Linked DNA regions of Arabidopsis thaliana. The protein of the gene in region 1 interacts with the protein of each later gene in a pairwise test. Each region holds a gene or a part of one and is shown on either strand. Other genes may lie near its edges.

The links.
Region 2: the proteins of RIP1 (region 1) and AT3G02330 interact in a two-hybrid assay, tested with the Arabidopsis thaliana proteins (one study listed by BioGRID).

The regions. Positions count from the first base shown.
Region 1 is NC_003074.8:5,048,294-5,053,058, reverse strand, and holds RIP1 (cobalt ion binding protein), read right to left. Parts: upstream 2,865-4,765; 5' UTR 2,739-2,864; coding exon 2,350-2,738; intron 2,179-2,349; coding exon 2,081-2,178; intron 1,997-2,080; coding exon 1,931-1,996; intron 1,573-1,930; coding exon 938-1,572; 3' UTR 604-937; downstream 1-603. Other genes in the region: AT3G15010 (RNA-binding (RRM/RBD/RNP motifs) family protein), read right to left, coding at 1-215; DJ1A (Class I glutamine amidotransferase-like superfamily protein), read right to left, coding at 3,438-3,635, 3,725-3,865, 3,981-4,181, 4,348-4,428, 4,520-4,705. UniProt on the Arabidopsis thaliana protein: Involved in organellar RNA editing. Required for the processing of numerous RNA editing sites in mitochondria and plastids. Binds to the plastid RARE1 factor, a pentatricopeptide repeat-containing protein involved in RNA editing.
Region 2 is NC_003074.8:473,076-478,468, forward strand, and holds AT3G02330 (Pentatricopeptide repeat (PPR) superfamily protein), read right to left. Parts: upstream 3,588-5,393; 5' UTR 3,518-3,587; coding exon 806-3,517; 3' UTR 699-805; downstream 1-698. Other genes in the region: AT3G02320 (N2,N2-dimethylguanosine tRNA methyltransferase), read left to right, coding at 1-34, 130-417; AT3G02340 (RING/U-box superfamily protein), read left to right, coding at 3,957-5,186. UniProt on the Arabidopsis thaliana protein: Involved in C-to-U editing of mitochondrial RNA. Required for RNA editing at 8 sites in 6 different mRNAs in mitochondria.

The DNA.
Region 1 (4,765 bases):
ATATCAGAGTCGGCGGTTAATCGGACAGATTCAAGCACGTCGGGATGGCGTACGATAGCCTCTTGCAATAAGTCGAGCAGCTGATCAGTGGTGAATCGCTCGATAATCTTCCTCGCGTCTTGCGGCGACAATCGAGTTGGACCAATGGTTCCGCCACCGTTGGTATTGAGTCCGTTACCGTTCTCATCGAGCTTACGCTTCTTCATCATATCCATGGTTACAGATTTATCTCTGGAGTTATTCTTTCACCGGTAAATCCCTAATCCTTCTAGTCCAGCCGTAGAGAAAGCGAATCTGACACGAAAAAAAAGAGGGGAAAATATGTGACGGCGGAAAAACATATGAGGGAAGCGAGGGCTTTATACGGTTACGAGATTTTCCATTTTGGGCTGAAATTTAGAATGATGGGCCGGGATAAAGAACACAAAGCCCATCTTGTTACTTCACACCCGCTTCTCTCTCTCATCATCAAATTGTGTGTTCTGTCAAGTTTGTCGAAAGAAATATGATATTGATGACATTTGTCATTCTTCCTGTTATAATATGAGTATCCCATTCCCATGTAAACATGATTGGGGAATTAGAAATTAAGACTAGGAAGAAGCCAAAGAAAGACACAAAACAATAGCCTGTGGGAGACATGTTACTAAATCCCGTTTAATGCAGAACCAGGAGTGGACATAAGAGTAGCAAGCATCACAAGGAAGAACTTGAGATCGATTTAGGATATAAACTACTAAAAAGAAACGCAAGAGTGAAAAGTTCTAACCATGCCACAGTAACTTAGGCTATTCTCTCTCACATAATCCCAGACTGATAAACACTCGAGATAAAAGGAGTTTTAAAGTCTTGCTACTGCACTCTCTCTTCCTCAAATTATCTATACACAGCCCAGAATGCATGATTAAAAAGGAAACCCACGACTGCTTCAACTGCTTTAACCCTGGTAGGGGTTGCCACTGCCATCCCGGTTAGGTGGGTAGTTGTTCTGGTACTGTGGCTGCTGCATTCCACTACCCTGCTGCTGGTAGTTGTTGTTCTGTGGGGGTGCTCCTCCGTATTGAGGTGGTGGTACTGCTCCATATTGAGGTGGTGGTCCTCCTCCATAGTTTGGTGGTGGTGCTCCTCCCATGTTGTTTGCTGGTGGTGCTCCTCCATAGTTGGGAGGTGGTGTTCCTCCATAGTTCTGAGGTGGCCTCGGTCCTCCCATGTTGTTTTGCGGTGGTGCTCCATAAGGTGGTGGATGCCTTGGTCCTCCCATGTTGTTTGGTGGTGGTGGTCCATAGTTCTGCCCCATGTGAGGTGGAGGAGGTGCAGAGCCACCCATATGAGGCGGAGGAGGTGCAGAGCCACCGATGTGCGGAGGAGGAGGAGGGCCTCCCATGGGAGGACGTTGAGGAGGAGGGCCTCCTGCCATGTTCTCTCTTCTCCTCTCAAAGTTTCTGCTTCTATCATTGTTGCGAGGACGGTCATTGCGTCTGTTCCTTTCATTTGCTCTAGCATTGTTCCTTATCCACTCCTCGTGGTACTTAGGATCATAAGGAACAGCCTTCCCATCGATGAAAGGTTCCCCTGAAAGTCAATATATACAAAAACGCATCAAACTAACTCTCTAATAGGATCACCAGAAAGATTTAAACTCTCACCAAAGCAACATCACTGCGACTTCTACAACACCAGTCTCACAATAGATATCACTAAATCAAATCTAACAGATGCACCCACAATGTTAATTAACTATAAATAGAAGTCGCCCCATGTGTCAATCTAACACAAAAGCATGGAGCAAGTAACGAGTCCACAGAGCGAAGACTAGCAACAGGTAGTTTCCCTTGAAAATTTCAAACCCAGCAAAAGTATAATGGACGAGCAAAGCAACTACCCCAATTTCAAACCCAGGTTATGATACAGATAATACACTTAAGCCTACCTCCATAGTCTTTGTTCCTCACATCCAGGTAAGAGTCAGGAAGAACCCAGCGCACATTTGACAACTCTGGAGAGTTACAGAAGAAAGTTAGAAGGCAGATTATAACACAGAAATGAGGAAAACTAAAACCCAACAAAGGCAAGAGTTAACCTTTTAACTTGTGAGAAAGATCTTCTGACACAAGTGCCCCAAAAGCATAGTAGCACCTAGTTGAAACCGAGTAGATCTTCATCCTAGCTTCGTCTTCACTGAAATGTCCAAAACGAGATATATCATGTTACAGCTCCAAAAATGATCTAAGTAAACACACAGATCCGTCATACACAGTAGTGGATTTCTCACTTATTTAACCTAAAATCCCTAGAAGAACATACACAGAGAGAGAGAGAGAGAGAGAGAGTTTTGAATTGGGGATTTACCTGCCAACAATCTGAGCTAGGGTTTTGATGTAGCTATCAATGATTTCATCTCTAGTAGGCTCACCCTGAGGTGGCTCCACGACGACAAGCCAGTGCTCGAAATCGCAACCATCGAGCAGGATCGTCTCCTTAGGTGGCCTGTTCGACCAGTTGGGATTCGGGTCGTTCAGAGAAGACGATGTAGCCTGCGTCGAGAGACCTTTGACAGACACAAGGCCGCCACGGAAAACGGAGGAAAAAGCGGCGACCAGAGGACGGGACCGGCTGAGCAGAGAAGACGCCGGAGATTTGGCGAGAGGAGCAGATGAAGCAAAGGATCGCGTGAACAGAAACGAAAGAGATTTCGCCGGTCGGCAAAGAATGGATCGAGAAATGGTATGCGTCGCCATGGAAGCTCTAGATTGGGCTTCGCAGATAAAACCCTAGGAGAGAGTGTGAAAACAGATGAGCTAGAAATGAAATCAAGGGTTTTATGAGGGTTTAATAGTAGATTATGAGTCGAGGGCATTTTAGGTATTTCATAACTGAACTGGACAGCGAAATCTACGGTACTACCCCCTGATCTTATCAGATTCAACAAAATTGCCCCTATTTTACCTTAAGTTACAAATAAACACATTTTCGCCAAGAAATTAGTGACATTACTCTGTTTTCAAATGATAAAAAAGCTATTTTTATACAAGAAGAGAAGACTGAAGATTTTATTTTCACTAAATTGGTAATAATCATATTATTAAATGGTTTACAAATATGAAATATTCCAAAGCTAAACATAGGGGCAAATTCGTATTTTAGAGTTATTGTAAGGTCAATTTGGTGAAAATGTGTGACTAAAATATCTTTCTCCATAAAATAATTTTTTTCTCCAGCACACCCTCTAGCTCTTGCAGAGGTTTAAAGAAAATATCGGCAACATACATAGAAAAATCTCGTTTATTCATTTATAAAGGCATAAAGTTACACACCAATCACTAAGCCAAGCTCATATGTCATATATCATAAAGTAAGTAATTACTAATGGAGAGAGATAACTAAAAGGCAAAGCCTTCTTTTTATTCAAGCCACTCTCATACTTTCATTGTTTGAAATCACACAAGTGTTGCCTTTCCGAGCTGAAGAGCTTTCTCTCGCCCGTAAAACTTTTCGACAATGGCAAGTGAAAACTCCATTGCAGTCCCTGGAGCTCTGCTTGTTATGACATTTCCATCTACCACGACTCTGTGCTCAATGTGACTCTTGTCCGAAAGTTTGTCGCTCACCACTGGGTGAGTAGTAGCCTTCTTACCCTATACAAAACATGTCTCTTATATCTCAGTTTAATGACTTAAAAGATAGAACAAGAAACTACAATTCTAGTACTGTTTGATTTATGCACCTTGAGTAAACCATTAGGCTCGAAGACGTAAGCAGGCGATGCGCAGATTCCTCCATATGGTTTGTTTGCTTCTGCCTGTTTCCTTAACATATTAACTAGCTTCTCGCAGCTTGCGAATCTTTGAGCACCGTTAAGACCGCCCTGTAGTTCATCAAAGAAGTTGGATTATGTTTTTGGTTATTTGTCATCATAGAATATTAAAATTTAATTTAAGACTAAATAGTATATTCACATTTTGGAAGTTAGCAATACTCACAGGTAACACAATCAGATCAAACGACTTCTCTGCAACCTCATCAAGAAGAACTTCTGCTACTAGCTTAGCTTTGCGAGATCCTTCAACTTCCAAACTGTTACCAACTGCAGCAATCACTACATTTGCTTTTGCCCGCCTCAGGATATCTACAAGCGCTATAGCTTCAATTTCCTCTGACTCCTCTGCAATGGGTACGAGAATCTGAAAAGGGAAAACATTATCTCTCTGACTCATAAAAGACTATTGATCAAGAAAGACAAAAGCTTTACAACACAGCATGTTCCTAGGAATCTGTATAACGGATCAAACAAAGCCTGTCTTGGAAAAATGTTAAAAGGGCCAAGTGGAGAGGCAACTGAACATTTACCTGTGGTGTATCTTCAAATGACCAGTTTGTTTGGTTAAGCTCAGTAAAAGTAAACTCCTCACCAGGGTTAGGACGAAGCAGCTGATTTCAAAAGGATAACAAGTAAGTCTACGAGGAGGTGACATGAACACGTACCACAGCGGTTGATAAAAGAGGCAGAGACAAAACATACCAAGATACTGGAGACTTCATCAGCTTTTTCTTTCCCAAACAACTGCTCTATAAGCGTGATGGAGAATTCAATGGTGGTTCCTGGTCCACGACTGGTCACTATTCTTCCATCAATTTGCACTCTTGACTCAACAGCAGTTGCACAAGTAGCCGCAAGTTTCTCCATAAAAACAGGGTAACCCGTTGCCTGCAAGAAACCCCATGTAATAACAAGACATTACAAGGCCTGAAAAAAAGATAAATAAAC
Region 2 (5,393 bases), 4.6 Mb from region 1:
TAGTGTGATCTTGTCCAAAGAACCATCACATGAGGTCTTTTGCTCGCTTTCTCTGAATTGTTTGAAACTGAATAATGTTTTTTCCAAGCCTGAATCTTTTCTTTTCGATTCTGTCTTGTGTTTGGACAGGTTGATTTTTCGCGTCACATTGGTTCGCTGAGCAAGGCACAGGCAAAGAAAGTAGCTCGTTTTCTGCCAAATCCAGAGAAGCATTGGGGTCCAAAGCTTAGGGCTGGTCGCCAGATTACGAGCAAACATGTATCTCTTATTGGTCATGAAGCAGTCAATGGTCATCTTAGCCAACACCATGAAGAACTTAAAGAAGAAGATGAAGAAGCAGAGCCAGAAGATAATGTCCAAGACAAGGTTGATCCAAAACGCCAGAAGACAGCAACAGATAATATTACCTCAACATAATAAGACAAATCACAAAAAGTTTTACAAAATAGATCAGATTTTGTCTACAGTCAGATTTGCCTCCTGATGAAGAACTCTGTTTTGTCTGTTGTTTCCTATATAATCATTTTTGGTAATACTTGAGACTTATGACCCATTTTTGTGATTCCTTCTGTTGTGATCTTATTAGTTTACTCATCTATAGCTTAACCGAACCAAACAGTAATTTAGTACCATGAAGAACTAAAAGAGGCAAAAGAAGCAATGTATAACAAGATATTGAAAGTAGATAACCACTTCTGATCATCATTAAATGAAGCAATATCATAGTACTTGAACAAACAAAACTACAACTATACAAACGCTGTAAACAATCTATTTGTTAAATTTACTTTTAATACAAAATTGTTTAGCAGTAACACCATTGGTCCTCTTCTTCTACTTCAACCCCACGCACGAAAGAAGAATCATCAAAAGGTTTCATTTCACTGTAAATCAAACCAAGCTCTTCGTAAATCTCTTCCCATCTAGGATGAGCCTTATCTCCAACGAGAAACACATGAAGCTCATCTTTTAGCTCAACCCAACTGCAACCAGGCTCCTTCTTAAGCTTAAAGCCTCTCATATTTCTCCTCAAATCTGAAACCTTTTCCCACATTCCTGCATCTGCGTATACATTTGATAAAAGTGTATAAGCTGAAGAGTCTTGTGGATCCAATCTCAACAGGGCAGCAGTTGCTTCTTCTGCAACCTCTACATTGTTTCTATGTATCGTGCAGACTCCTAACAGGGTTCTCCATATGACATCGTCTGCTTCAAATGGCATCTCTCGAATAAGCTCTAATGCTCTCTTGACTTTTCCGGATTTTCCTAATATATCTACCATGTTCGAGTAATGCGGTAGCTGAGGATCCAGGCCATAGTCTCTCTTCATCATATAGAAGTACTCGAGCCCTTTGTCGATCAGACCCATGTGAGCACAAGCTCGGAGTATCGATATGAAAGTAACGTGATTTGGTTTGATGTTTTCGAGTATCATTCTCTCAAACAGTTGTATAGCTTCCTCTCCTTTCCCATGATGTGCATACCCGCAAATCATGGCGTTCCAGGTCACGAAATCTCTTCTCAGCGACTTCTCAAACATCAATCTTGAATCATGGAGATCTCCACATTTCGAGTACATGTCAACGAGGGTGCTACAGATATACACATCAGATTGCAATTCTTTCTTGATGACCTGAGCATGAATCTGTTTACCTAATCCAGCGGAAGCAAGATTCGCACAGGTATCAAGAACTGTTGCATAAGTAAATTTGTCAGGAGTTATACCCATCTCCATCATCCGGGTAAAAAGCATCTGAGCATCCTCGCTTTGTTCCTTCATTACATATCCGGAAATAATTGAATTCCATGAAACACACATTTCCTGCAGTCTCTTATTGTGCATCTTTTCAAGCTCTTCCATTGTTCCCGAGACATTGGCTCGTTGAAAGAATCGACTATGTATCTTCTCCGCCTCTTCTATCATTCCACACTTTGAATACATATCGATCAGAGAGCATCCGACAGAGGAGTTTGAAGCCATTCCTGATTTGACAATGCTGGAATGGATCTCCATACCGTAACCTAAAGAACCACCAGTGCAAGCTTTCAATATGCTTCCAAAGGTAAACTCATCAGGTTCGATCCTAGAACGGAGCATCGAGACAAAAAGAAAAAGCGTTTCATATCCTTTTCCGTTCTGCTCATGTGCAGCTATAATCGCATTCCAAGACACAGCGTCTCGTCTTCTCATCTCATCGAATACACGAAAGGCTTCAGCCAGAGCTTGACATTTCCCATACATGTCGATAGCAGCATTTGCAACGCAAACATCTAGCGATAAGCTGCTTTTTATCGCCAAACCGTAAATCTGAAGCCCCTCTGAAAGTCCTTTCACCAAGGCACAAGCCCTGAATACTCCTGATAAACTTATCTCGTCGAAACCAAGACCCGATGACATGAGTCGGTGAAACAACAGTAGAGCTTTGAAACCATGTTCTTCTTGCGAATAACCAGTAATCATTGCGTTATAAGATTGCCTATTAAGATTTTCTGAGTTGTCAAACAAAATTTGAGCATCTTGCATATTATCACACTTTGCGTACATGTCCAATGTCGCCGTCCTCACTATACCATCTGCTGCAAAATCTGACTTCAAGGCATGAGCATGTAACTGACCGCCTAACCTCAATTCGGATAACGCAGCACATGACCTCAAGACGCTAGCGTAAATTGACTGGCTCACTCCAGCATTTACCTTTTGCATCTCCTTGAAAAACTTCAAAGCAAGGGACAACAAGTTATTCTGAACACAACCTGCGATTATAGCACTCCACGAGACAGAATTCTTCTCTGGTATACCTTGAAACACTCTAAGAGACTCGACAAACCTCTTGCCTTTTGCATACATATCCAACAACGCACTCGCAGCAACCACATCAGTATCACAACCCACTCGAACGACAATCCCATGAATCTGCATTCCTAAACTGGTATCCTCTAAAAAGGAACAAACTTTAAGAATAATTGCAAAAGTTCTACCGTCAAACTCAATACCTTCTCTCCCCATGTCAACGAAAACCTCGATAGATTTCAAACTCTCGCCGTTTTGCAGATACCCAGAAAGCATTGAGTTCCAAGACACAACATCTCTCACAGGCATCATATTGAAGAAAGAATTCGCTTTAAACATGTCATTACTCTTCGAGTAACCATTTATCATTTTGTTCCAAGAAACAACATCTCTCAGCGGCATTTTGTCGAACACCATAGAAGCAGACACGAAATCTCTTGAATTTGTGTAGACCTGCAGCAAACAGTTCAGTACGAATGTAGTCGGACGAAACCCAGATATTATCATATGAGCATGAGCTTGCTTGCCTAGCTCTAACGCTCCTTGCTTCGCACATTCCTTGAAAACAAACGAAAAGTTCGTCGTGCTAACTGAGTTCACTTGATTCAGAAAATCAGTGAAATAAGAAAAGCTTGGAACTCTCCGGTATGAAATTTTCTCTGTTAGACAACGATTGAATGAAACCACTGATCTGGTCATATGCAATAATCTGAGACTCTCCGCCATGAGTCATAACGAACTGAAACTCAGTGGTATCTATGGCGGGATTGAAACGATTACAATTGCTTCGGTTCGGTTCACTCGGTTTGAAAAATATATAAACCGACTGACTAGGCACTAGCTATATTAATCAAGCGGTTAACACGCCACGGGGAATCCAGTTTGGACTTTTACTATTCTATTAAATAATTAAAAAGCATTACCAGATCAACAAGGTCGTTGTAGTATAGTGGTAAGTATTCCCGCCTGTCACGCGGGTGACCCGGGTTCGATCCCCGGCAACGGCGTAATTTTTTCATCGTTTGTCTTAATCCACCTGCAAATACACGTCATCATATTATATCCTTTGTGTAGACGAAATCATACGATTTTTCCCTCTGAAATTTCCTTTTTCCTTTTTTGTCTTTTTTTTTTTTAATTAATTACTTTTCTCTGAGACACAGCAATGGCGTCGACGAAGCCCGATTCCGCAATCAACCTTGAAGAAGAGGCTGAAGGCGACGGTGTAGCCGTAGACGATCCGATTTTCATACCGGAGACCACGAACTTACTCGTCCGTTACTCGCCATTCGACGACAGGGACATCGATTGCAATCCTTATTTCCCTTTCACAGGCCCGATTTCAGATTCTGGATCAGGTTCTTACTCGGATTCTGAGCCCGATCCCAACAGCTGTCCCATCGATTTCTTCGATCGAGATTCTTCCGATGTTGACGTGGCTGAGTACTTGGAATCAGGAGGGCTGACCGCCGGTGATTATAATATTTGGGGCTTTTATGACCCCAAGGAAGACGAGGAAGAGGAGGAGATAGTTTTGGGGACTTCCGGGTCGGATCTGCAACCGGGTGATTCAGGGGAGCAAGGGCTTCGAGTGACCGGTATCGATTCAGATTCCGATTGTGAAGATGGCGTGTTTGATTTTATCTCTGAGGATAGTAGCGGGAATAGGGGAAATGATTCGGGTCGGGTCGAGGTTGGTACGGGTCTTCCTCCTGTGTGGGATCATCTCTTCGGAGAGGGAACCGTGTTGGCTGATGAAGAATGGGAGGAGGTGCAGAACGCGATTAACTGGACAGCTTTTAGTGGACCCGAAGATGAGGACGAAGAAGATGAATTGTCTTCACTATCAAGGGATGATGAAGAAGAAGATCATGAACTGGACTGGCAGGTTTTGTTAACTGTTAACAATGTTGTTAATTATATCGAACAAGCTGAAGGAATCATGCTAAACCCTGATGATATCGATCCGGATTATTACCTGTATCTATCTGGTTTGGATGAATTTGATGAAAATCATAGTGGACATTATGATGCTGATGCTATTCTTGGGCAAATGTTTGATGACGAGACTGGAATCAGGGGAAATCCTCCAGCAGCCAAAAGTGTAATTCAGGATCTTCCGGTTGTGGAGCTTGCTGTGGAAGAGTTAGACAAAGGGAACAATGTTTGTGCGGTATGCAAAGATGAAATGTTAGTGGAGGAGAAAGTAAGGAGGCTTCCTTGTAGTCATTTCTATCATGGAGAGTGTATCATACCTTGGTTGGGGATAAGGAATACTTGCCCGGTTTGTCGGTATGAGCTGCCTACTGATGATCTTGAGTATGAAAGACATAAGAGCTCAGAAAGGGGCGATACTGGTTTGGCAAGGAACGTGTTGCCGGGTAGATATAGTTAATTGAATATTTGAAGTGATCTATTCTTCAAGTTAATAGACATGGTTTCAGAGGCAAGATCCTTGAACCACTTTGTTTATGGTAAGCACTTATCGTGAATGTGATAATGTTTAAGTTGTATATATTCCTTTTGTTTTGTGAAATAAATCATGTTAAACTTTGAACCCTTATCTTGAAGTGTTTGTGAAGTTAATCCATCTTTCATAGTT